5 linked regions of the Kluyveromyces lactis genome follow. Each later gene encodes a partner of the first gene's protein in a complex. Links are inferred from orthologs where the notes say so. Each region holds a gene or a part of one and is shown in the gene's direction. Other genes may lie near its edges. The genes, in order: SMD1, SMX2, SMD2, SME1 and PRP6.

Region 1 (4,402 bases):
GTGGGTCAGTCCCAACGAGGTTAATCCTATTCAAGGCACGATTCAAAAGGACCATGTCTTTCAAACCTTTGTCAAATCATGGAAATTGATTAATGAAGATGAAACCAACTCATTACAGTTCAAGAATTTAAGTGTTATTGCACCTTTAAGAAAGGAATTAGAACGTGAAGAAAAAATGGAAGAAGAGTTAAACGGACGTAAGCAAAGAGCACTAATAGAATTGGCTGGTGATCCAACAAGCGAAGAAAAGAAGAAGAGGATCAAAAAGATTAAGAAAAAGTTAAGACTATTAGAGAAGAAGAGGAAGCTGAAACGTGCTAAGGCAAAGAACAAGGATAATCCGGACGAGAAAGATGTTTCTAAGGATAAATCAGAAGTTGAGAAGCCCAAAAAGTCTAAATCCAAACACAAATCCAAATCCAAATCTAAACCTAAATCGAAATCTGAACCGAAATCATCGAAATTTGACACTGCGACAACTGAGAAGAGTGCGGTAACATCCGAAGAAAAGCCAAAGAAGAAGATTTTGTTGAAACCAAAGAAAGATGATGTTCCCAAACCAGAGATGCCTGCAGATTCGGAGGTAACGAAGAGAGCAAGACGTAAAAAATCAAAGAAACATAAAGACAAAGACAAGGATGTAAAGAAGGATTTAACAAGCAAAGAAACAAAGGAAACTCCCTCTAAAGTTACTCCTAAGGTAAAAATAAAGTCTAAATCTGCCAATGTGGAGGAAATGAAATCGGAGAAGCGTAAGCAGGAAAACACTAAGCCAGAAAAAAATCCATCAAGTGAATCAGATAAGAAAGCTAAATCAAAGAGAAAAAGTAGAAAAGGAAGGCAGTCTGATGGACCTAAACACAAAGACAAACCAACTTAATATGCAGACATCGCACCAATGGATGGCATCTCGATATTTTGGCTTAGTTCTCTTTTACGTGCCCTTTCATTTATTCAAATGTGCAGAATATTATTTCTGATCTCTGACACTTGATATTTAAAGGGAGTGTGACAGGACTTTTTAATATTAGCAGCTTTGTGGACTAACAACAAATTCATTTTGCAAACTCAACTAAGGATTATTACACACGCATATCACTCGCCATAATTTTCATCGATCGATGGTGAATATTAGAACTACAGAATTAGAAGGAGATTTAGCACAGTTGACCTATGAACTTGGGTTGAAGGATAAGGAAGTCATGACTTTAAAGCAAAGTCTGGAACGCCTCAATGCTGAAGTCGAGAAGCTAAGAAACGAGAACAGAGGCTTGAAAAGCGAATTGGAACATTGGAATAAACTACCGATGAGTCCAATATCTTTGTCTTCAGAAAACGATCAAACTGAGGACGATAAAAACCGAATGATTCAAGAGAATTTGCGGAGAGAGATTCTTTCCTTGAAGAATGAAAGTAATATTTTATCAGAATGGATCAAGACCCTTATTTCTTGAATTTCTTCAAATAAATATTCTGAGCCGTACCCAGAATTGCGTATGCCAAACTAAAAAATACGGACCATTTATCTGGTGAAATGTATCTTTGAGCAATTGACATCAATACCGTTGATGTTGCCAAGCTGGAAGACAACATTGCCGCATATCTTGTCTTGATTGCGTGTATAATTTTTGTTTTGTCAACCTTACCGTTGTTAACAGAAGTCAAGGTAAATAGTAACCCTAACACTTGAATAGGCGATACCATGCCTAATGAGCAGCCTAACTGGACCAAGCTTCTATATTTGGATACCACTTTCCTAATTGTGTATTCGTTTATCCATTTGTAACTGAAATGATTAACTGGTGCGTTAAATAGACCACCATATAGACTCATCAATGCCACTTTGATCCAATTTAGCTTCTCTTTTCTTTCCTCTGGAGACAGACTAACCCATTGACTGAACAGTTCGCTTAACCCAGTTAATACCGCGCCTGTTATGCATTTAGTTAATAACGGGTTACGTTTGAGTAAAATATTATATCTCTTCAAGATTACTGATGACGACATGTTTACTCTTGGCGTTAATCTTTAATACTCCCAATCTCTCGATGCGAGCAGCAGTAACCTTGAAAGCTTGCGATCCATGAGATATGAAAAGAGTAATATCTGACTTTAACATCTATATATATATATATATATATATATCCAGATTTTATCAAAGCAATGACTGACAGAACGTTTTGTTATCGCTTGCATGGATAGTTTCTTATCGCACTTCTCCGTGTATCTGTTAACCATTTAACATGAGATGCAACGGATCTAAATACTTTTTGGGTTCCATGTAAGATTCGAACACATGCTCGCTCGAATGTAAGAAACCATTGGAATCTCACGCAAATGAGTTACCCTGTTAAGGCACGTGATAATATGAAATTTCCACTCTTTTCCAGGAAAGAACGACCCCATTGATTCTTGAGTATCAATTTGAACCATTTCATCCATCATTATGTAGAATATGTCAATTGAGTAACTACGATCAAATCCTGATCTTTTATCAAAATCAGGAAGTTGCTTGTGGATCATCTGTTACTTTTGCAAAATTCAAAACTCTTTTTCATCAAAACCATTTGAAACTGGTAACAGCTTTCTGGTGTATCTTTAGTCCGATTGAAACAACGAAGTTTTATATACAGACAAAATGCAGTTAACAGGGTTCTTAAAGAAACTAAAGAATGAAAGGGTGTCTATAGAGTTGAAGAATGGTACCACTGTTTGGGGAATAGTGAGGAGTGTGTCACCGCAGATGAACGTCTCTCTTACTGACGTCAGGCTGACACTCCCTACTAAGACCTCAGAAGCTACCTTGGCTGCCGTCTTATTGTCAGGTGGATCGACACAAGGACAAGAATCTAAGAGAACAACTAGCCTCGAGTTCATCAACATTAGGGGTAATACGATAAGGCAGATTATTTTACCAGATAGTATCAATTTGGATGCGTTGCTTGTAGACCAACAGGAAGTCAACAGGTTGAGGAAACAAGGTAAAGTGGGAAGTGATCCGAATAAGAAGAGATCACTTGAGAGTAACGGGAATGCTCCTAAACGTCCAAAGAGGGCATTTTAATATACATCAGAAAACATATGTGGAAATAAATATGTAGTGATGTTATGGACTTTGTTTTGATGAATGATTAAACACTATTGATAATTATCTTTCATAATGAATAGCCGTTCTTTCCAGTCGATGCCTCCAAAAAAAGAAAGAATGGAATCAAATTTGATCACTGTCATCTCTTGGATCAGAGCTGGAGTCCGAGTCGCTTGAGCTCTCATCGTCCTCTTCATCGTCCCATATTTTACACCAATTGCATTTTCCTAAGGGGATGCCCCAAATTTCATTCCTGTCGCATAACCAGTCTATCAACTCATCGAAATGTATCAATTTAATCTCTTTTTTAATCGATGATGACCAACAATCCATATCTAACGAGTAACTTTTTAATTTTCTATGATCAAGTATATATTTCTTCATTAAATCATGTAATAAATTGAACGATATATCTTGCTCGGAAGGATTACTCTCAGTTAAGAAATAATACGAGATTCTCATATAACATAATACCAGTGCTGCAATATACTTGTTGTTTAAGGGTTCATGCGGTTCTAGTAATACTTTTAGTTGTTCCCACGGAGGTCGCAGGTTGATCAATTTCATCAATAGACATTTGAACTCTATACCACCTAAGACAGTCACATGCGGGGTTTTCCGCTCATCCATAGTCCCGAAATCTCTCACAATAACAGGTATAAGTTCGACAATGGTATCTCCCCTCAAACTTGCGGGCGTTAAATTAAATTTATAATACATGCATGACGATACCTTATTTCTAAATATTTGAGGAACTACCAAAGACGCTGATTGGTGATTCAATTGCTTTCCAGACAAGTTCTCCTCCACGTAGAATTCGTTAGGCATTGTGTGTGTTATGAATAATACTAAACTGTGTCGAAGACAGTAGCAGCTGAGCTCTTTTGTTCTTTATATTTGATATCTGCCCTCTATCAAATTGGTTTCTCATTCATAATGATTTATAGTTCTTGGTGATATATATAATATTTATATATATTTGCAGAGCAATTTGATCTAGATAAGCAATATACATGCATGGTGACTAAATATTTACAGGTGAAAAGAACAACCCATGTTGGTCTTAGGTGTGTTTAGGATATGCGTGATGGGGCCAGAGGTAAGGGGGGAGTGAACCTATCAGCACCATTAGAACCAACTTCTGGTATTTTGGTTTTGTTTCTTTTCTAATCTTCTTTTGTACTTGGAACCCTTTGCTTCGAGAATGTATTTATCGGCATTCTTAATAGCCTCCTCCATCTTGGCTACTTTTCCTTCTAGTAGACGTTCGTGCTTGTGACCTTTCGGCATCAATACACCCTTCATAAACTTCTT
Region 2 (4,246 bases), about 340 kb from region 1:
TGATCAACCCTATTCGACTTACGGTGGCTCTAATCATTAGCTTTGTTTGAAAAAAGTACGCTGCCAGTCGCATTTAGAGAGAATTCGGACAAGGCGAGATTTAATAGGATCAAATACGTACTAGGGAGTTACAGAAAAAACTCATTTCCCCATATCCATATGTTTAAGAGATATTTATTACAATACCCACGTCAATTCCATACGGCAAGACTTCTAAGACAAGAGTTTAAGGATCCTTATAAGGTCCTTGGGATTAACAAGAACTCCAGTCAGTCCGACATTAAGAAAGCGTACTACAAGCTGGCCAAGAAGTATCATCCGGATATAAATAAGGAAGAAGACTCTCAGAAGAAGTTCCATGATTTGCAAAACGCGTATGAAATATTAAGCGATGAAGATAAGAGGAAACAGTATGATCAATTCGGTGCTGCTGCATTCAGCCAAGCTGGTGGTGCCGGTGGACCAGGCGGTGCCTATGGCGGTGCTGGTGCTGGTGGTGCACAAGGATTCGGAGGCTTTGGAGGGTTCGATTTCGGTGGATTGAACTTTGAAGATCTTTTCGGAAGTGCGTTTGGTGGTGGTGGTGGTGGTGGTGCCGGAGGCAGGAGAGCTGGTTCGCATGGAGCAGGATTTGGCGGTTCCGATTTTGTCCGTGAATATAAAGGTGAGAATGTCACTGTACCATTCCAAGTATCCTTCAAAGATGCCGTCTTCGGTGTGAAGAATGTCAAATTGAATTACCAATGCTACGATCCGTGTTCGTCATGTGATGGAAGTGGGTTGAAAGCTGGACATTCGAGAAGTGTTTGTCCTACATGTCATGGTACAGGTACTCAGGTACATGTAAGAGCAGGTTTCCAAATGGCCTCTACTTGTCAAACATGTGATGGTGAGGGTTCAACTATTAAGGACAGCGATAAATGTGGTACCTGTCATAGCCACGGTTTCAAATTGAATTCAAATAAAACTATCACCGTAGACTTACCTCACGGACTTCAGGACGGTGACACAATTAGAGTACCTAACCAAGGTAGTTACCCCGGTATGGCTATCGATCCGTCCATGAAATCTGAATTGCATTTAACCAGAGGCGATTTGTTGATTCGTGTCAGAGTCAGGAAAGACACAAGATTCCAAGTTTCAAATAATTACGACATCATTTACACTCAGGAAATCCCAATTACAACGGCAGCACTAGGTGGCGTCATTGAAGTACCCACCGTAGAGGAAGAAAAGATCAGATTGAAGGTCAGCTCTGGTACTCAACACGATCAAGTCATCAGAATTCCAAATAAGGGTGTCCCTCGTGGAGCTAGAGGTGACAGGGGTGACATGCTTGTCAAGTTCAAGATTGTTATCAAAAAACCAAAGGATGAAACAGAACGTTATCTATGGGAGACCTTGGCCCACTTGACCAATGATACCACTGCAAGAAGGACCATTACTCCCTCTGGATCGTCGGCTAAGGACAACTCTTCCTCTGCTGATAAAGACACAGTTGAAAACAATGAAGGAACCATCAAGAAATTGGAAAATTTCTTGTCTAACACTTTAAAGAAGATCAGAGGGGAATGAAATCCTTAAATCGCATATATGCTCTCCCGTCATACATTCCACCTTCATTCTTTCATAATTCTTTGATTGGATGAACTAATTACGACATTGGCATTCTCATTATTCATGTACCACTTACAGCAGTCATAGCCAGTAATTGCATATACTGCACATTATTTTATAAAACCCTTTAACATCATGTAAATACCAATTTCCCTATATATATATATAATTGCACTTAGCGCATAATACTTATCGTTTTGATATTCTCTTACTAGTTATCCCTACTTACCATATTTAGCTCGGGATTGAAATTCATGCCAATGACAACGAATGTTTTCAGTAAGGGTCGATATGCTTTAGTAACTTATTCTGACCATCGTTGTCTTCTTAACATTGTGACATTGAAAATTACTTTTGAATGGAAAAAGCATAATTATGTACAAAATTCATCAATTGAAATATACTGAAGATAAATTTCGAAGGACTTTTGCCAAGAGTTAAGAGACTATATCTACGACTTATCACTTCCGTACGACCCATTATAAACCATCCAATATTCCATGACATCTCCAGATTTGAGAAAAGTATGTTTACCCCTGTTTTCCAGGAAAAATCTTATCAGAATTTAAATTACTAACTATAATATGATTCGTTGCAAACAGTACATGGACAAGAAACTCATTCTACAGCTTAACGGCAATAGGAAAATTATTGGAATATTACGAGGATATGATGCATTTTTGAACTTAGTACTGGATAATCCAATACAGATTTTCGAAGAAGGAGAGGTCCAAATGGGACCCCAGACTGTTGTTAGAGGTAACTCCATTGTATCGATAGAACCTCTTGACAGTTTGTAAGAGCAGAAGGGAGACAAATACAACTCAATGTGTCGGAACACTTTACTTAGTGACATTTACGTACAATGAATTATGCTAGTAGAAAGGAAGGATAGATATGATAGAGCGCACACTGGTTACAACATCATTTGTCGAATCTGATTTGCATTTCGACACCAGCTTTTTTCAATCCACATTTCTCATAGAATCCAACATTACTTTCATCACAATCAAGAATAACTTTATAGCATCCATACTCGTTAGCTAATTTGTATAAATACTGAATTAATATCAATCCCAATTTCTTCCCCTGTTGATCTTTTCTCACTGCAATGTCTTCAATATGACCAACAAGCCCACATTCGTGAATAACTTTTTTCTCGACTAGCACGTTTCCTGTGGCGACAACTTCCCCATTTGTGTCAACGATCACAGTGCTATTGTACATAGGTATATCTCCTATCGTGACTGAATCCCAATGGTCTATTAGTGAATGGAATTGATCTTGGCTCACATCACCAACCATCGTTAGCACTTTCAGCACAGATGTAACCCCAGAAAAATCATCTTTCTTGGTTCTTCTAATTGTGTATCCTTCTGGTAATGACATGGTAAGAATTCCAATTAACGGCAGGATGATGGTAGAAATGAATGGTAATATCAATTGTTGATGTAACAAAGAGACTATAAAGGTTCTTTTATCATGGTTCATATTTAATCATTGTGCCTATACAAAGAATAATGCTGGAATTAGAACATAAGGAACGTAGACCATCGTTAGCGCCAGTTTGTCCGGGTTACTCAATGACACGTGATCGGTATTCATCGTGGCTGGATAGTACCCATAGGCCCAAACGTACCATATACAAAAACTAGTGGTGGTGATGACATTGAATGCATAGCATTTAGATAGACGGTCCACTGTGAATAAAGTTCTTTTGATAGTTTTTGACTTTGACAAGTTTAGCAGCTGGTATAAGCAATATATGGCCACAGGCAGTTGGAATAAAATTTCAATGATTGTCATATATTTGAGCCAGTTTGGAGGATTGGCAGTTAGAAAATCATTGAAATTATCAATATAACCATCTAGAAGTCCCTTAGTATATTGAAGATATGGAGGAAGTACTGCATTCGAATCCAAAAACGTAATGATTGGAATGTTAACTGCATACCAGATCTTCCATAGATTGATCTTCCATAGTTGAGTCTTTCTCGAATCACGTTGCTCTTTACTCATATTAGACCTTAGTTACCCTTTATATACCTTGGTCTCTTGAAGCGCTGGTTAGAGTCGGTAACACTACTCAAACCGATGAGGATTTTACTCAAGTTATATCGATTATTCTATCAGATGCTGAATTTAACGTCTTACTTGTTTATATTACCCGGATTTGGAGGGAATCTCATAGCAGCAACTAGACGAACGCCAAACCTGATACAAAGGTCGTGAATGGCTATACAACAAAGGGATTTATGAGAGATTCGTTATTAATTATTGTGGTACATAAGTGTCATATTAGGAACTAGATATTACTGAACACATAAGACGGCTAGAAGTAGATCTCCTTTCCAAACTTTGGTGTGAACTGGTGTTAGCTTGAAATGAATAAATGAAGTTTAGAATGATTCACCAGTAAAATCAGGGTTAACGGTTACAATTAGCAGCTGAAAGCAGATAATAAAAGAACATTTCGTGTAATTGCAGTTTCTGAAATTTGCAAAACCAAAATTATTACATTAATAAAGTTTAGGCATTAGCGGAAGTAGTTTTTGGTTCAGATTGTAGTTCTGATGAAGAGTTGTTTCCTGTGTGAATCTTGTCATCGATGTTTGCTGGAGGAGCTTCA
Region 3 (4,506 bases), about 460 kb from region 1:
AATACTTCCTTGACGTGAATACGGAGCATCTTATTGGATATAATGAAGATCTATACAAAAAATTACAGGATGAACCGATAGATATTATCCCGTTGTTCGAACAAGCAATAACTCAAGTGGCAAAGAGAATTGTTTTGTTATCGCAAGATTCTGATATTGATCCAGAGACAGCGTTGTCGAACTTCCCACTATGTCAGCTCATTTTAAATTCCAGTTCTATGGAAATTCCATTAAGAAGTTTGGATTCGGATCACGTTTCTAAGATCGTCAGAATTACAGGGATCATCATCTCATCCAGTGTCTTGACATCAAGAGCCACTCAGTTATCGCTAATGTGTAGAAGCTGTAAACATATGACAACTTTGAAGTTGAACAATTTCCAGAATTTGAATAACAATAACGTCCAGTTACCTCGTGAGTGTCTTGCAGATCGTTCCAACGAAACAGATGAAACAGCAGCTTCTTGTGGCCCTGACCCATATTTAATCGTACACGAATCGTCACAGTTTATTGACCAACAGTTTTTGAAACTACAAGAATTACCGGAATCCGTGCCAATTGGTGAATTGCCTAGAAATTTACTAATGACATGTGATAGATATTTGACCAACCAAGTTGTTCCAGGAACAAGAGTTACCATTATTGGTATTTATTCCATCTACCAATCCAAGAATAAGAGTATTAATAGTTCTGGAAATAAAGCTGTGGCGATCAGAAACCCTTACGTGAAAGTTATCGGGATCAAACACCTATCAAATAATCCGTTAAACAATTCTCTATCTATGTTTTCGGAAAGTGAAGAACAAGAATTTTTGGAGCTTTCCCAACGACCAGATCTATATGAACTTTTCGCCAACTCAATTGCTCCCAGTATCTATGGTAACACTGATATCAAGAAAGCCATCGTTTGTCTCCTTATGGGCGGATCGAAGAAATTGTTACCAGATGGTATGAGACTAAGAGGTGATATCAACGTGCTACTGCTTGGTGATCCTGGTACTGCAAAATCCCAACTGTTGAAATTTGTGGAAAAAGTTTCTCCGATTTCGGTATATACATCTGGTAAAGGTTCTTCTGCAGCTGGTTTGACGGCAAGTGTCCAAAGAGATCCAACTACACGGGAATTTTACCTAGAAGGAGGTGCAATGGTGCTTGCTGATGGTGGTGTTGTCTGTATTGACGAATTTGACAAGATGAGAGACGAGGACCGTGTTGCCATCCATGAAGCCATGGAACAACAAACTATTTCCATTGCTAAAGCCGGTATCACTACCGTTTTGAATTCTAGAACTAGTGTCTTAGCTGCAGCAAACCCTGTTTACGGTAGATATGATGATTTGAAATCACCGGGTGAAAACATTGATTTCCAAACTACCATCTTGTCCAGATTCGATATGATCTTCATTGTTAAAGATGATCACAATGAAGCTAGAGATATCCAAATTGCGAACCACGTCATGAACATTCACACAGGAAGAACTCAACAAAACGATCCAAATGATAATTCCAACTCCAACAACGAAATTCCAATAGAAACTATGAAGAGATATGTTAGTTACTGTAGGTTAAAATGTGCCCCCAGGTTATCTCCTGAAGCAGCCACAAAATTATCTTCTCATTTCATCACTATTAGAAAACAATTACAAGAGTCCGAAAGACATTCCAATGAGAGGTCTTCCATTCCAATCACAGTTCGTCAATTAGAAGCCATAATTCGTATCACAGAATCTTTAGCTAAATTAGAACTGAATCCAGTAGCGACCGAAAAACATGTTGATGAAGCCATTAGATTATTCCAAGCTTCTACGATGGATGCTGCCTCTCAGGATCCTATCAACTCCCAGGAAAATGATACAACAATGCTCTCACAAATTAGAAGAATCGAATCTGAATTGAAAAGAAGGTTGCCAATAGGATGGTCTACAAGTTACAAAACTTTGCAAAGGGAATTCGTTGTGAACAAGAAACTTCCCCAATATGCGCTAGATAAGGCGTTATACCTGTTAGAAAGACATGATTCTATTCAACTAAGACATCAAGGTCAGAATATTTATAGAAGTGGAGTATGAAGTTGCAAATGAAATTCAGGAACCCCTCCTTGAACATTGTCTATAACTCATATGTACCACTGTGTATAAGGAATTTCAGCGACTATGTGTTGATATTTATATAGTGTAAGATTACCCGGATAATGATAATGATAATTGGATAATCCGAAAGAAAACAACTGGATGGTATATTGGGTTTGATGCACAGGATGAGATGATGAGATGACCAAAGAAGGAACCTCTCATATCATATGGCAATCAGGACAAGTTATCACAAACTTACGAGATTGCAAATATCATAAGCCAAGGACTTATCTTCAGGATTTGTCTGTTACATATACTAGAAAATTGACCTAAAACACGATGGCCGATACATATATTCCAAAGACAGACCTTTCAAGGTCTGAACTATCTAGAGACGAGCTAACACAACTAGAAGAATTCGAAATGAAATATGGACCCATGTCTCTAATCAGGGAATCAATGCTACAGAGGACACCTGTTATAATATCACTAAGGAACAATCATAAACTCATAGCTCGTGTGAAATCTTTTGACAAGCACTGTAACATGGTTCTGGAAAACGTTAAAGAAATATGGACAGAGAATGTAAATGGTAAGAAGGTTAACAGAGAGCGATTCGTAGCGAAACTCTTTCTTAGAGGGGACTCAGTGATTATAGTGGTAAAGACATGAACCTGTTTTTATCATCCCATCAACATCCTTTCTGAAGTCACGTGTACTGATATGTTCGCTGCCACTGAAAGCATCAAGTAAAAGGGTTATAGAGCTAATAATCTGATCAAATATCAGGACAAAGATGCATTAATCTTCTGTGAAGCCTTTACCGCATTGAACCAATGTAACTTTCTGATCTGTGCCCGGATTCTCCCTAGTTTTTATATGTCGAATTCCAAACGGCGCATACTCAAAATACGTAATTCAAGCTCAAAAGAACCGTTTAATCCTCTATAGAACTAGATATCAATACATAATACGGCTCAAACCATACAACCCAATACATCCCTTATTTTACAGCTAAGGGGTTGCCTTACCAAATTCAGTATACTGCTAATCACTATTTTTGCCGTTTTAACGTAACGAATACTCAGTTTGGATATTTCACGAATGATATTTCTTCATATTTTTTTTTTTTTTTTTTATTTTTCACTTTCATGAACTCTTTTAAAAAACTAGTCAAATCGCTCTTTTATATCACAGGGATAAGTCAAAGCGCAAAACCTAACTGAAATACATCAAAACAATCACAGGACAACGTTAGGTACTATTGTCAAAGAGTTATATATTAAAAAGAGGCGTGTGAAGTGTGCTTTTATTCTATAGCTTTCACAACTGACAATGGAAAGGCCACAGGACGAGGGAATGAATCCTCCAAAAGCTGGATTGTCTACAATTATAAAACCTTTGGACATAGTGATAGCGCAGTATGACTTTAATCCGCTAAGGAAATCTCAATTACGGTTTTTTGCCGGTGATATTATCTACGTTATATCGAAGAGTGACTCAGGTTGGTGGGACGGTATTTTATATTATAATAAGAGCTTGGTTTTGAGGGGCTGGTTCCCCAGAAGTTATACTAAATCAATAAAGGATACCAGTTCAAGTCGGAAGATATTTCCTCTGAATTACCATGGCAGCAATGCTTTTAATAATAGGCCTAGTAGCCATGGGTCACGGAGGAACAGTTTGAGGATAGGCAGCCCATCTGGGAATATGAATATTCGTTCTACGTCTGGGTCAAGAAGGGGATCTTTGGTGAGTACCGGGAACTTTAGAAGGAAAAGTCTTGGTACGACTACTTTCCACGATAATCATGATAATGCAATAAATAGTGGGCAAACGCTACTGTCGACGTCTCCTTCAAATTCTGCAAGTAGTGTCAATAATTCTAGCCCGTCATCGCATTTGAAACAGGATTACCAATTCGATATGAATCGCAGATCCTTCTCTCACTCAAGGAGCAAACCAAATGCAACCTCCAAATCAAGAAGTGCATCAACTAGCAGTTCTCGAAACTCTTACTGTCGTTCATCTGAATCTTTATCCAAAGCGCGGTCTCATTCAGAATCCCGTAACTCAGATCATTCATACAGTAAACATTCTGTATCGTCAATACGGTCCCCACATACTCTTCATGAGTCAGAAATCAACATTCTTTCTACTAAAGAAGTTGAAATGCTCTTAAATAACATGTCAAGACAAGAGGTTGTGCCGGTATGGACCCCGGTTTTGACTACAAGCAATAATTTATTATACTTCAATAAAGAAATGAACATTTATTGTACATCTTTACCTATATCAAGGACACCTGAACTAAGCTTAAAATCTGTTTTCCCGCCTAATGAAAACCTGGTCGACTTACAAGCAAGAAGCCTAGAATCAGACTTTTTGCCTAATACTCAAGTGATGGATCTGGAATCTGTCATTTCTTCTCAGC
Region 4 (4,382 bases), on another chromosome or scaffold:
AGGTGGAGTTTTGAACCCCCAAGATGATAAATCATCTAAAAATCTGATCAATGTCATATATGCTTCAAAATTGTCGAGTTTTGGAAGACTCTCTAAATCCCATTGTATTAGGGACGAAATAAGCACAGGAGTGTTCATCATATGTTCAGGGAAAAACATTAAAAGATCATTACACATAAGGAAGAAGTCGTGAACCATTTCAAAGAATTTGTCTAATGTTTGCATTGACTTAAAATTATTGAAGAATGTAGAACATTGCTGACAGGCAAATTGCCACACTGCCTCTTTGACCTGTACATCGACAGGATAATATTCATCGTCACCATAAACGTAAATAATTGAACCAGAGAACCACAAATACGCTCCTAGACCACTTGTTGAATAACCTTTAGCCACAAATTCTGAGACCGCCGGAAGTATTGGTTGTGTGAATAGGTGGTATTTTTCGAAAACACGACGGAAGAATTTCATTGTTCTATCGACAATGATAACATTAGAGATCGCATATGCGTCCAATAAGTTAATTAACTTTGTAATATGTTCGGAAATAGAGGCAATTAACGGTTCTTCAACACCTTGTTCTGGATACTCGAATTTGGGGACAATGTTCTCCAAAATTGCATAAAGCAAATCAATATAGTGTGCAACTTTTGCAGAAAGATCAGGATCAGATGGGTTCGAGATGAATTGCTGAATGATAATGTCAAACCTCTTATTATGTTGGGAGGTGAATGAATTGAATATGCCACCAATCTTCGCTGTTTCCTGCTCATTTATGACAGAACTTAAGCCTTGACACATCTCAAACATAGAGTAGTTGTCAACTGCGCGTTCAATTTTCCAAATAAAATCCACTAACTGGCCACAATAATTAACAAGAAGTGACGAGCAGTCCTGACAGAAATACATTAATGCATTGGAGGCAGCAACAGAGAGATCATGATTTGATTGGCCTGCTTCAAATCCATTGAATATATAATTCAATTGGATTTCCAGTAGATCCTCATGTTTACTGGTCCATTCTGTGTATCTCGAGAATACGAGTATTGTAGAATAAACCAATTTGGGGTGAGTTAGTGGATGTATGCATAGTTGTTTGAAAAGTTGGGGTAGCACAACGTTTTCAGTATGAGAAATTTCATGAGCCATTGTACGAACAGCAAACAAGGCAGCCTCTAGTGGTTGCCAGACCGTGTTAGGATCTTCTTTCTGAAGATATTGGTTGATAAGATTATATGGTTGCTGCAATGCAACGGTTGAACCTAAGACAGCAGCACAAGACTTAAGTACATCACCAATGTTATACCTAAAATCTTTAAATTTATCTTCATCTTCCTTATTTTCAAAAACAGTTTCCGGATAATGCAAATGTGTAATCAAACCATTCGTTAAATTAATAAATACATCCTGATATTCTTTTCTTTGTTGAGCGTAACGTTGTAAAACTAACATTTGCCTCAAATTAAACCAAAATGGGAAAGTATACGAAACGATATCGAGGTCAGTGTTCTTGCAAGTTAATACCAAGATGACTTCAACCAATGGTTTGAATAAGGCAGGATTCTTTGCAAGAAAAACACACCACGCTTCGCCAGCTTCAACGAATAAACGTGTGAGTGGATCCATAATCTCTTCGTATTCTTCCCAGTCAGAAATGGTTGTGATTGGCAATAGCTTTTGTTGCAAAGCTAAAAGTTGCTCGTAAAGCGCATGTATGATTGTATCGTTGGCTGCGTCTCTCGTTTCTCTTAATAACACACATAAGCATTCTACTGCAGCTTCAAAAGAATCAGAATCAGTATCATATGAAGTATGCAAGACTTGGAACACGGTGTTTATCAATGGAGTCACTTGTAATACCTGTTCTATTGGAAATTCATAACACCACGATCCAAAGCACGAAATGATTTTAGAAGCAGATATGCCTTCAGTTCCGACTCTATCCAAACATGAAATCAAAAATTTCAATACGTCTTCTCCAATGTTATCTATAAGTTCGTGTGTTCTACACTCAAATTCATCTTGGGATAGAGGAGTGGATTTGATATCCAATGTTTCCTCTGGGAGAATCTTCAAAAACAGTAGTAACTTTCCCGGAAGACCATTTAGAGTATTAATAATTTCAACTAGCGGATTCCTCCAATCAAGATACTGAATGGTAAATCGGGCTAGTGCCACGTTCAACTGTGTTACTATGATCTTCTCTTCATACATAGCGATGAACTCAAAGAGCTTTCCCTTGAAACTCTCTAATTCGGTATTGACCTGGTTTAGATCATAGGTGACTTTGTTCACTAGAGTTTGACAAGCAAACATTTGCAACTGTAAGTTGTCTGCTTCATGCTTGCTTAATACTTCGAAGCAGATTTGCCATGCTTCTATGCTCTTTTGAAATTGCTCCAAAAATTGTAAAGCTTGTATCTTCTTCTCCTGTTCAGAAACACTTTGAGTACAAATCAATGCACTCTTGATATCTGGGATTTGATACAACATCAATATTGATCAATCACGTCGTTCTTGCTCAACGGTATCTGCTGTGGCAGTTTTTATGAGTTCCTTTTATAGTGCATAAGTAAGATCAAATGTTTTGGTTGATTCAATATATAAAATTTTTTTAATATGTTAACAATAATCCTATTAAACTAATATCAAACGAATTCAACATGGCACTAGTGACTGACATTAATAAAGGATAACTGCGATCTGATTATAGTTACACTAACATCGACCTTCAATACACCGAAAGATTCTAGAAAAAGTCTAAAATGTCCGGCTCTAAAGTAGGAGCTCCTATGGTACCTCCAATCAATTGCATATACAACTACCTTCATCATCAGACAACAGTAACGTTTTGGTTATACGAACAAGTACAGACACGTATAAGAGGCAAGATCAGAGGCTTTGATGAGTTCATGAATGTGGTAATAGATGACGCTTTCGAAATAGCTGTAGATCCGAAAAGTGGTAAAGAGAGCGATGATAAAGCAGTGTTTCTTGGGAGAATTATGTTGAAAGGTGATAATATAACACTTGTTGTGGCAAATTGATAATGCCTACTCAGAAAATGATAATAGGATGAAAGAAAGATGCTTAGAGTGTAGAAGCATTGATCGGACTCTGTCGTGTAATTATATAAGCCTGTATATTATAACGGAAAAATGAAAGGCACTGAAATTTCGATAACGGCGACAAGCACTATCAAGGCTAATAAAGATATATTGTTCGTAATCTTATGGATCTATTTACAATGTGTTGCTCAGATTGGGGAGAATACCTTAAGTTCATATGGTTTCTTTTGTGTCAGTGATATTATCTAAAAGATATATCTCAAAGGACAGAGTCTTTACGTTCTTCCGCTTGTTTAGTTAATTCATCCAATTTGGTATTAATTTCCTGGTTAAATTGTTCCATCTCACCAGATAAAAATTCCTTCACAATTGGCAAACCTACGTATTTGCCGTTGCCCAAAGTACCAAATAATGCATCCGAAATTTCACCTTCGTTTCTTGCTGTTTGTTGAGAAGTCGACAAAGACAACTTATTTCTTAATACATCTTGGTTGTCCGAGGCGAATGCCTTTTCTACACTGGCCACCAGTTGTTCTTCTGTCACAATGAAATGGTCTGCTGCATGACAAAGCTGTACCAAGTTGGCAAGTTTGCGTTCTTTAGCCTTGAATTCAATCAATTCCTTGTTGTGCTTTCTCTTCAAATCCAGAATTTCTTGCTCTTCGGCAGTCCTTTGTCTCATAAGCGGTTGATTCATAATGCCCTCCAATGTTGGAATGGTCAAGTTACTCGAACGTTCTTTGTTAAGCTCTTTCAATTCGGCTTCTCTCTGTTCTTGTAGTACCCTTTCTTTCTTCTTCAATAGCTCTTCCTGCTTTAATAATCTTTGTTCTTCGTTACGTAAAGACTCACTCAAATATTTTCTACGCAACTCTGCTTGATTCTGCTTCAATAACTGCTGTTCACTAGCAGCCGTAGTATTTTCACTCTTAGGTTTCACCGTGTTATAGATAACTTCCTCCACATCAATGAATTTCAATGGAGGTGGATTTCTATGAGATCCTTTTGGATGTTTGATACCCTTAGCATAACCGACACCATTGATACCCTTAGGCTTGGCTTCTTTGACTCTTTCAAGTATACCCGTTTGGTTCACAGTTGGATTTTTCAAGATTCGTCTCGTTGATGGAAGAATTCCGCTCTTATAGCCATACTTTGCTGCACCCTTACCCATTGTTTCTAATGTTTAAAAAGAACAAGGTTACAAAATTTGATCACAAAAATGTCGCTGGAACTTACAGACCGTGGATCAACCGAAACAAGATTCGTCTTGACTGAAATTTTGGCTACTTAATGCTATAATACCTGTTACTC
Region 5 (6,242 bases), on another chromosome or scaffold:
TAGTTATAAAAGGCAAGCGAACATTGCACCAGGGAGCAAGTGTACTCATCAGCAGCATCTATTTAACTTCCATTTTGAAGCTAGCTACCAAAGAAAGCAACAGAACAAGCATAAATTAGTCAAACCATCTGTCCTATAGGCGTTTTTTCCTTTTCTTTTCTAATATTTGAAAATACGTGCAAATTAAACGCTGATCAAAATTCAGATCTAATAACACATCAGTGCAAACAAACTAAACAAAAATGGCTTTGCAACAGTTTGATTACATTTTTGCCATTACAATGCTCTTTGCATTCTTGGATGCATACAATATTGGTGCCAATGATGTTGCCAACTCGTTTGCTTCCTCTATTTCATCTAGATCCTTGAAATACTGGCAGGCTATGATCCTTGCTGCTTTATGTGAATTTTTGGGGGCTGTCTTAGCGGGTGCTAGAGTCTCTGGTACCATCAAGAACAATATTATTTCTGCTTCACCTTTCGAAGATGATCCAGCTGTGTTAATGTTAACTATGGCATGTGCTCTTGTCGGTTCTGCCACTTGGCTTTCAATTGCGACATCTATTGGTATGCCAGTGTCATCGACTCATTCTATCGTTGGTGGTACCATCGGTGCCGGTATTGCTGCCGGTGGTGCCAAGGGTGTCCAATGGGGTTGGGGTGGTGTTTCTCAAATTATTGCTTCTTGGTTTATTGCTCCAATCTTAGCCGGTTGCTTGGTCACTATTATTTTCTTGATCTCCAAGTTCCTGGTCTTGGATGTTAAGCCAATTGAAAAAGCTATTAAGAACGCTTTACTACTCGTCGGATTTTTGGTGTTCGCTACCTTCTCGGTGTTGACTATGTTGATCGTTTGGAAGGGTTCTCCAAACTTGAAGTTGGATAAATTGTCTGGCACAACTACCGCATTGGCTATTGTTCTTACTGGTCTAGTCGCTTGTGCTGTTTACTTCATCTTCTTGTACCCATACTACAGAAGAAGAATCTTGCACAGAGACTGGACCCTAAAATGGTATGATATTTACAGAGGCCCAACTTTCTACTTCAAGTCCACTGACGACATTCCACCTCTACCTGCTGGACAATCTTTAACCATTGATTACTACGAAGGTAGAAGATTCGAAGATGAAACTGCCGGAGATGATGAAACCCAAATTGAAACTTCCCACACCGCCGATGGAAGAGATACTGTAGAGGGACATATTGAAATTAACGACAAGGAATCTGTCAACCAAAGTATCAAATTGGTGCAAACAGAAACTTTGCAAGAAGAAAAACCAACTACCAAACAGCTATGGTGGTCATTGCTAAAACAAGGACCAAAGAAGTGGCCTCTATTACTTTGGTTGATTGCTTCTCACGGTTGGACTCAAGATGTTATTCATTCTCAGGTCTACGATACAGGTGCTTTGTCAACAGATTTCAAGGACATGTACAAGAGATCTGCCTTCTATGACAACAGAATCGAATTCATCTATTCTATCTTGCAAGCTATTACCGCCGCCACTATGTCTTTTGCTCACGGTGCCAATGATGTTGCCAACGCCACTGCACCACTAGCTGCCGTGTATGACATCTGGCAGAAAAACACTGTGGAATCTAAGTCTGACGTTCACACATGGGTTTTAGCATACTGTGCCGCTGCATTGGTCCTCGGTTGTTGGACATACGGTTACAGAATCATCAAGAACTTGGGTAACAAGATGATTTTGCAATCTCCATCCAGAGGGTTCTCCGTTGAACTTGGTGCTGCTGTTACCACTGTTATGGCAACACAATTAAGTATTCCTGTTTCTACTACTCAAGTTGCTGTCGGTGGTATTGTGGCCGTTGGTCTTTGTAACAGGGATTTGAAATCCGTTAACTGGAGAATGGTCGCTTTCTGTTACAGTGGTTGGTTCTTAACTCTTCCAATGGCTGGTCTCATTGCAGGTATCTTGAACGGTATCATCTTGAACGCACCACGTTACGGTGGAGATTACCAATTATCATAATCATCAGATTGATATTTTCTTTCTCATGGCCTCAGCGCCTTTTAGGAACTTTCATTAATTAATTGTTTGTGCACTAGCTAGATAATAGTTTATCTGCTACAAATATAGAACATATTCGGTATTATAGATTCTGCAAATTTCCTCATATATTAGCCTGCATATTTAATTCTTTCTAAGCAGAATCGATATTTATTTCTATCAACGCTTATTCTCTATTGTTTTAAGAATCTGTAGAATATCTTTAAAAACAAAACCTTTAAAATTTGTATCGAAAGGACATCTCATACAGTAAACTATTCACTAGTAAATCATCTGAGTAAACAACTATCACGGTGATAGGCATGGAGACTCCCAGTTTCCTAAAACAATCTCCACCACCTGGTTACATCGCTGGTATAGGTCGTGGAGCGGTTGGCTTTTCCACCAGAGGAAGTAAAGATGATAAAAGAGTTCCTGCTAGATTGAATAGATATGGGCGAGATGCACCAGATACTTCTGTAACAAAGAATCCAAATAGATACAGATCAGCAGTTTCGAATGAATCATCGGAGAAACAGGTTAAAGATGAAGACGAACAAGAGATGAGAGTGTACGAAAAGATCGAACAGCGACTTAAGAATAAAAAAATTATCGACAATGAAACAAGCCTAAAGACGAAGCCAGATGATGAACCAGACAAGCTATCTTCTAAATTTGTAGATTTGAAGCGTAATTTAGCAACTCTTTCTGAGCAAGACTGGCTGGATATCCCTGACGCATCTGATATGACCAGACGAAACAAAAGGAATCGAATAGAGGAACAACTTGAAAGGAAAACATTCGCTGCTCCTGACACTTTGTTCCAGGTTAATGTCAACTTATCCAAGTTAACTGAAGAGAGGGAAAAGTTACTTGCTGTCCAGATAGATAAGAGTTTTGATTACAGCAAAAGTCAACTTACGGATGATGCTGAATACTTGAATAGAATGAACCAAGATGACAACACTATTTCATCTACGGATTTGGAAGACATTAGGAAAAACAGATCCCTATTAGCCGCGTATCGTAAATCCCATCCAAGAAATCCAGAAAACTGGATTTCTTCAGCAAGAATCGAAGAAAGAGCCAATCAGTTCAATCGAGCCAAAAGTTTGCTAGCGGAAGGTTGTAAACTGTGCCCTAAAAGTGAAGCTATCTGGTTAGAATCGATACGCATGAACGCATCCGATAAAGAATATTGCAAGAGGTTGGTTACAGTTGCCTTAAGGCTCAACGAGTTTAGTGAGCAGTTGTGGTTGAAGGCAATCGCCCTCGAACAACACAATACTGATAAAATTAAAGTCACTCGAAAGGCTCTAATTAAACTACCACTAAGCTCTATATTATGGGAAGTGGCGGTAAATCTTGAAACTTCCACTCTTGAAAAGCTGAAAATTTTGAAGAAAGCAGTTGAATTAGTGCCGAAGGATTCGCAGTTATGGTTGAAGTTGATAAGGTTACAATCAGTCGAATCTGCAGTGGACACCTTGAAATCTGCTGAAGAACATATTAAAAAAGACATCACATACTGGCTTCTCAAATGTCAACTCGAAGAAAAAAGAACGACCGCAAATCTCGATACGTTGGTAAATATCATTTCTAGCGCAATAAAGGATCTTCATGAACTGGAAGTTAATCCAACTATTACTGAGTGGTTCGAAAATGCAGTCGCTATATCAACAGAAGGATTGTATCCATTAACAGCGAAAGCAATCATCACAGCTACCATCAATAACTTATTTGAAGACGCATCCTCAAATTTCCAAAGTCTCTCGAAGCTGTTGGTAAACGACACCACACTTCAGTGTACCTTGTTTTCCTCCTTCCTAATCAAATATCCAACAAAGTACTCTATTTGGAAGGAGTTCACCAATTTCGCCGAAGACTTTTCGCGGAAATTAGAGCTACACGAAACATTCAGGAAGATCCTCTTTACAGATTCTCAAGCGGTAAAGAAATACCCTGTCTTGGTTTTAATGTATGCGAAAGACGTTTGGGATTGGGGTTCTGGTTCCACTGAAGCGTTGTCGATTTTAGATAAAGCTCTGGTGACAAATTCGGCGTATCCTGAGTTTTGGTTGGCTAAACTCAAAATTTTGAACAGAGATGGCAAATTGGATGAGATTATAAATTCCTTTGAAGAAGCCGAATCACACTTGGTAGAATGCATTGATAAATTAGTTCCTTTTTACGTTAAGTGTTTGCAATCTAAAGGCAGTTTGGAAATAGCTCATTCTACTGTTGATATAGCTTTGGCACGTGAACCAAACGACAAACATTTACTAATCTTGAAAGCACAGCTATACAGGCAACAAAGGGACCTTTCATCAGCGAAGCGTGTGCTACAGAGGGCTACGGATATTTCTAATCATGATCCAGAAGTGTGCTTGGAGTTCTCCAGACTGGTAATGGAAACACAAGATTGGGGCAAAGCGCGTTCAATACTCAGCGTTTCTCTACTAAAGAATCCAAAATCCGATACACTCTACGAGGCTCTCATTACATTGGAACTGCAAGTGAAAGATAACAAACAAGTAACGTACCTCATCGCTCAGGGTCTCAAAGCGTGTCCACACAGCTGGAGGCTCTGGTGTCTAAACATCAGAACCCTTCCTAAAAAATCACTACGTAAAACCACATTCCAAGATGCTCTCGAAGCTACAAAAGAGCATCCAATGGTGATAACTGAGATCGGAAAAGTGTTCCAAAAGGAACACCAATACGCGAAGGCATATAAATGGTTCATAAGAGCCTCGGAAAATAATCTTCAATTTGGGGACCCATGGGTATGGCTCTACATCTGCGAGTCGTGCATGAATCCAGTTGATTTGCAAATAAATGAAGAAAAAACGTTAAAGAAATTGAAAGAAAATGAACCCAGGTACGGTATACTATGGGAGCCCGCAGTAAACTCATACCTACACATATCAAACTCTCCGATTGATATTTTGCACAGCATTATCAACAATTTACACCAATAATTAGATAGAATGTAAGATTGTAAGATTGTAATAATAAAAATTGGGACAACACTGATGCGACTGTAAATTGACTTTCCGCATTGTCAGAAGTTCCGTTCCTCAATCGTAACTAACCCAGTATATGCGGCAGTTCTGTGTATTTTTCCGTTGTGATCTGATTCTCTGCTATGAAAGAGTCAGCTCTTATATCTATCAAAGAGAACTTTTTCCAGTGGAATTTGAAAATTTGAAAACGAACAACCAAAATGGAACTTCGAAATTGCGAAGAGTATTGGTAGTCGACAGGGATCGGAGGTGAAGTGAAAAACATCGATAGCAGCTGTTGAGAGTCTTAAATACCCGCCGAGGTCCACGTCATTTTTACCAGGGAAGTTATATATATATACTGATAGGTCAGAAAAAGTATGTCGTTCGGCAAGGGACGCAATGAGAGTTTGGATTGTCTCACTCCAGCATCGTATGTGTCTCAAGGTGCGGCACCTGAGGCACCAGCACCGACCCAAAGTGTCAGGGCAAGCCAGCCGCCACTATTCCCAGCTAGTAGCAGACATATTCTGTCTCCTTCGACGTTACTAGCGCATCCAAGTCCGCATTCAGTGCCCAGTACTGCTACTCTGCTTGGACTTTCCTCTGAACACGTAATCACTAGTCCTCAGTCGGTTCAGTTGAAAAATACACCTACTTCTATCGGACCAAGTCCAAGAGATGTGCTAGTTACCAATCTATCGCCGATCTCTGATATTTTACAAGGTGATCGTTCATCTATGTCACCTGCATCTGGAATCTCTTCCGTAGATGCATCGGGTGCAACACCCTCGACAGATGCAGATGGGAAAATCGTCAAGCGTAAGTATTCTAGAAATGGTTGTTTGGAGTGTAAGAAAAGACGGATGAAATGTGACGAGGGCAAACCGACCTGTTGGCAATGTGCCAGGTTGAATAGAAAGTGTGTGTATATATTGAATCCAAAGAATAAGAAACGGAAACCCAGAAAACCCAAGTCTGCAGGGGCATGCGCTACATGTACTGAAGATGGTGATGAGAAGGGAAAGGTTAAGAATGATGCAACGATGAAGAGTGAAACAAATTTCTCACTGAATAGCCATGTTAATGATTCTTTGGTAAATTCAGGATTGCCAAACCTCATACCTGCAGGTAGCATTAACGCTATGGATGCCAATCTTTTGATTCAGAATCTCAACGACATTGTTAGTATGAAGTTGAATGACTCTTTGGTTAGCGATGAATT

What was found.
Region 2: SMD1 (region 1) and SMX2 share a complex: the UniProt entries of both Saccharomyces cerevisiae proteins name them as parts of the sm core complex. The link is inferred for Kluyveromyces lactis from reciprocal best matches to the Saccharomyces cerevisiae genes SMD1 and SMX2.
Region 3: SMD1 (region 1) and SMD2 share a complex: the UniProt entries of both Saccharomyces cerevisiae proteins name them as parts of the sm core complex. The link is inferred for Kluyveromyces lactis from reciprocal best matches to the Saccharomyces cerevisiae genes SMD1 and SMD2.
Region 4: SMD1 (region 1) and SME1 share a complex: the UniProt entries of both Saccharomyces cerevisiae proteins name them as parts of the sm core complex. The link is inferred for Kluyveromyces lactis from reciprocal best matches to the Saccharomyces cerevisiae genes SMD1 and SME1.
Region 5: SMD1 (region 1) and PRP6 share a complex: the UniProt entries of both Saccharomyces cerevisiae proteins name them as parts of the U4/U6-U5 tri-snRNP complex. The link is inferred for Kluyveromyces lactis from reciprocal best matches to the Saccharomyces cerevisiae genes SMD1 and PRP6.

What each region holds. Positions count from the first base shown.
Region 1 is NC_006040.1:319,078-323,479, forward strand, and holds SMD1 (mRNA splicing protein SMD1), read left to right. Parts: upstream 1-2,638; coding exon 2,639-3,064; downstream 3,065-4,402. Other genes in the region: UPF3 (Upf3p), read left to right, coding at 1-880; KLLA0_D03740g (uncharacterized protein), read left to right, coding at 1,122-1,454; KLLA0_D03751g (uncharacterized protein), read right to left, coding at 1,444-2,007; U4/U6-U5 snRNP complex subunit PRP38, read right to left, coding at 3,212-3,916; MRPL25 (mitochondrial 54S ribosomal protein mL59), read right to left, coding at 4,217-4,402. UniProt on the Saccharomyces cerevisiae protein: lays a role in pre-mRNA splicing as a core component of the spliceosomal U1, U2, U4 and U5 small nuclear ribonucleoproteins (snRNPs), the building blocks of the spliceosome. Also binds telomerase RNA and is required for its accumulation.
Region 2 is NC_006040.1:658,020-662,265, forward strand, and holds SMX2 (mRNA splicing protein SMX2), read left to right. Parts: upstream 1-2,117; coding exon 2,118-2,141; intron 2,142-2,219; coding exon 2,220-2,417; downstream 2,418-4,246. Other genes in the region: MDJ1 (Mdj1p), read left to right, coding at 160-1,575; GNA1 (glucosamine 6-phosphate N-acetyltransferase), read right to left, coding at 2,542-3,108; EMA19 (Ema19p), read right to left, coding at 3,124-3,636; KLLA0_D07744g (ammonium transporter), read right to left, coding at 4,147-4,246. UniProt on the Saccharomyces cerevisiae protein: Plays a role in pre-mRNA splicing as a core component of the spliceosomal U1, U2, U4 and U5 small nuclear ribonucleoproteins (snRNPs), the building blocks of the spliceosome.
Region 3 is NC_006040.1:780,445-784,950, forward strand, and holds SMD2 (mRNA splicing protein SMD2), read left to right. Parts: upstream 1-2,411; coding exon 2,412-2,744; downstream 2,745-4,506. Other genes in the region: MCM DNA helicase complex subunit MCM5, read left to right, coding at 1-2,069; Ras family guanine nucleotide exchange factor CDC25, read left to right, coding at 3,408-4,506. UniProt on the Saccharomyces cerevisiae protein: Plays a role in pre-mRNA splicing as a core component of the spliceosomal U1, U2, U4 and U5 small nuclear ribonucleoproteins (snRNPs), the building blocks of the spliceosome.
Region 4 is NC_006037.1:203,678-208,059, reverse strand, and holds SME1 (mRNA splicing protein SME1), read left to right. Parts: upstream 1-2,765; coding exon 2,766-3,047; downstream 3,048-4,382. Other genes in the region: mRNA transport regulator MTR10, read right to left, coding at 1-2,493; mitochondrial 37S ribosomal protein PET123, read right to left, coding at 3,328-4,242. UniProt on the Saccharomyces cerevisiae protein: Involved in pre-mRNA splicing. Binds and is required for the stability of snRNA U1, U2, U4 and U5 which contain a highly conserved structural motif called the Sm binding site. Involved in cap modification.
Region 5 is NC_006042.1:395,276-401,517, forward strand, and holds PRP6 (U4/U6-U5 snRNP complex subunit PRP6), read left to right. Parts: upstream 1-2,335; coding exon 2,336-4,993; downstream 4,994-6,242. Other genes in the region: PHO89 (Pho89p), read left to right, coding at 243-1,994; LYS14 (Lys14p), read left to right, coding at 5,398-6,242. UniProt on the Saccharomyces cerevisiae protein: Participates in pre-mRNA splicing. Part of the U4/U5/U6 tri-snRNP complex, one of the building blocks of the spliceosome.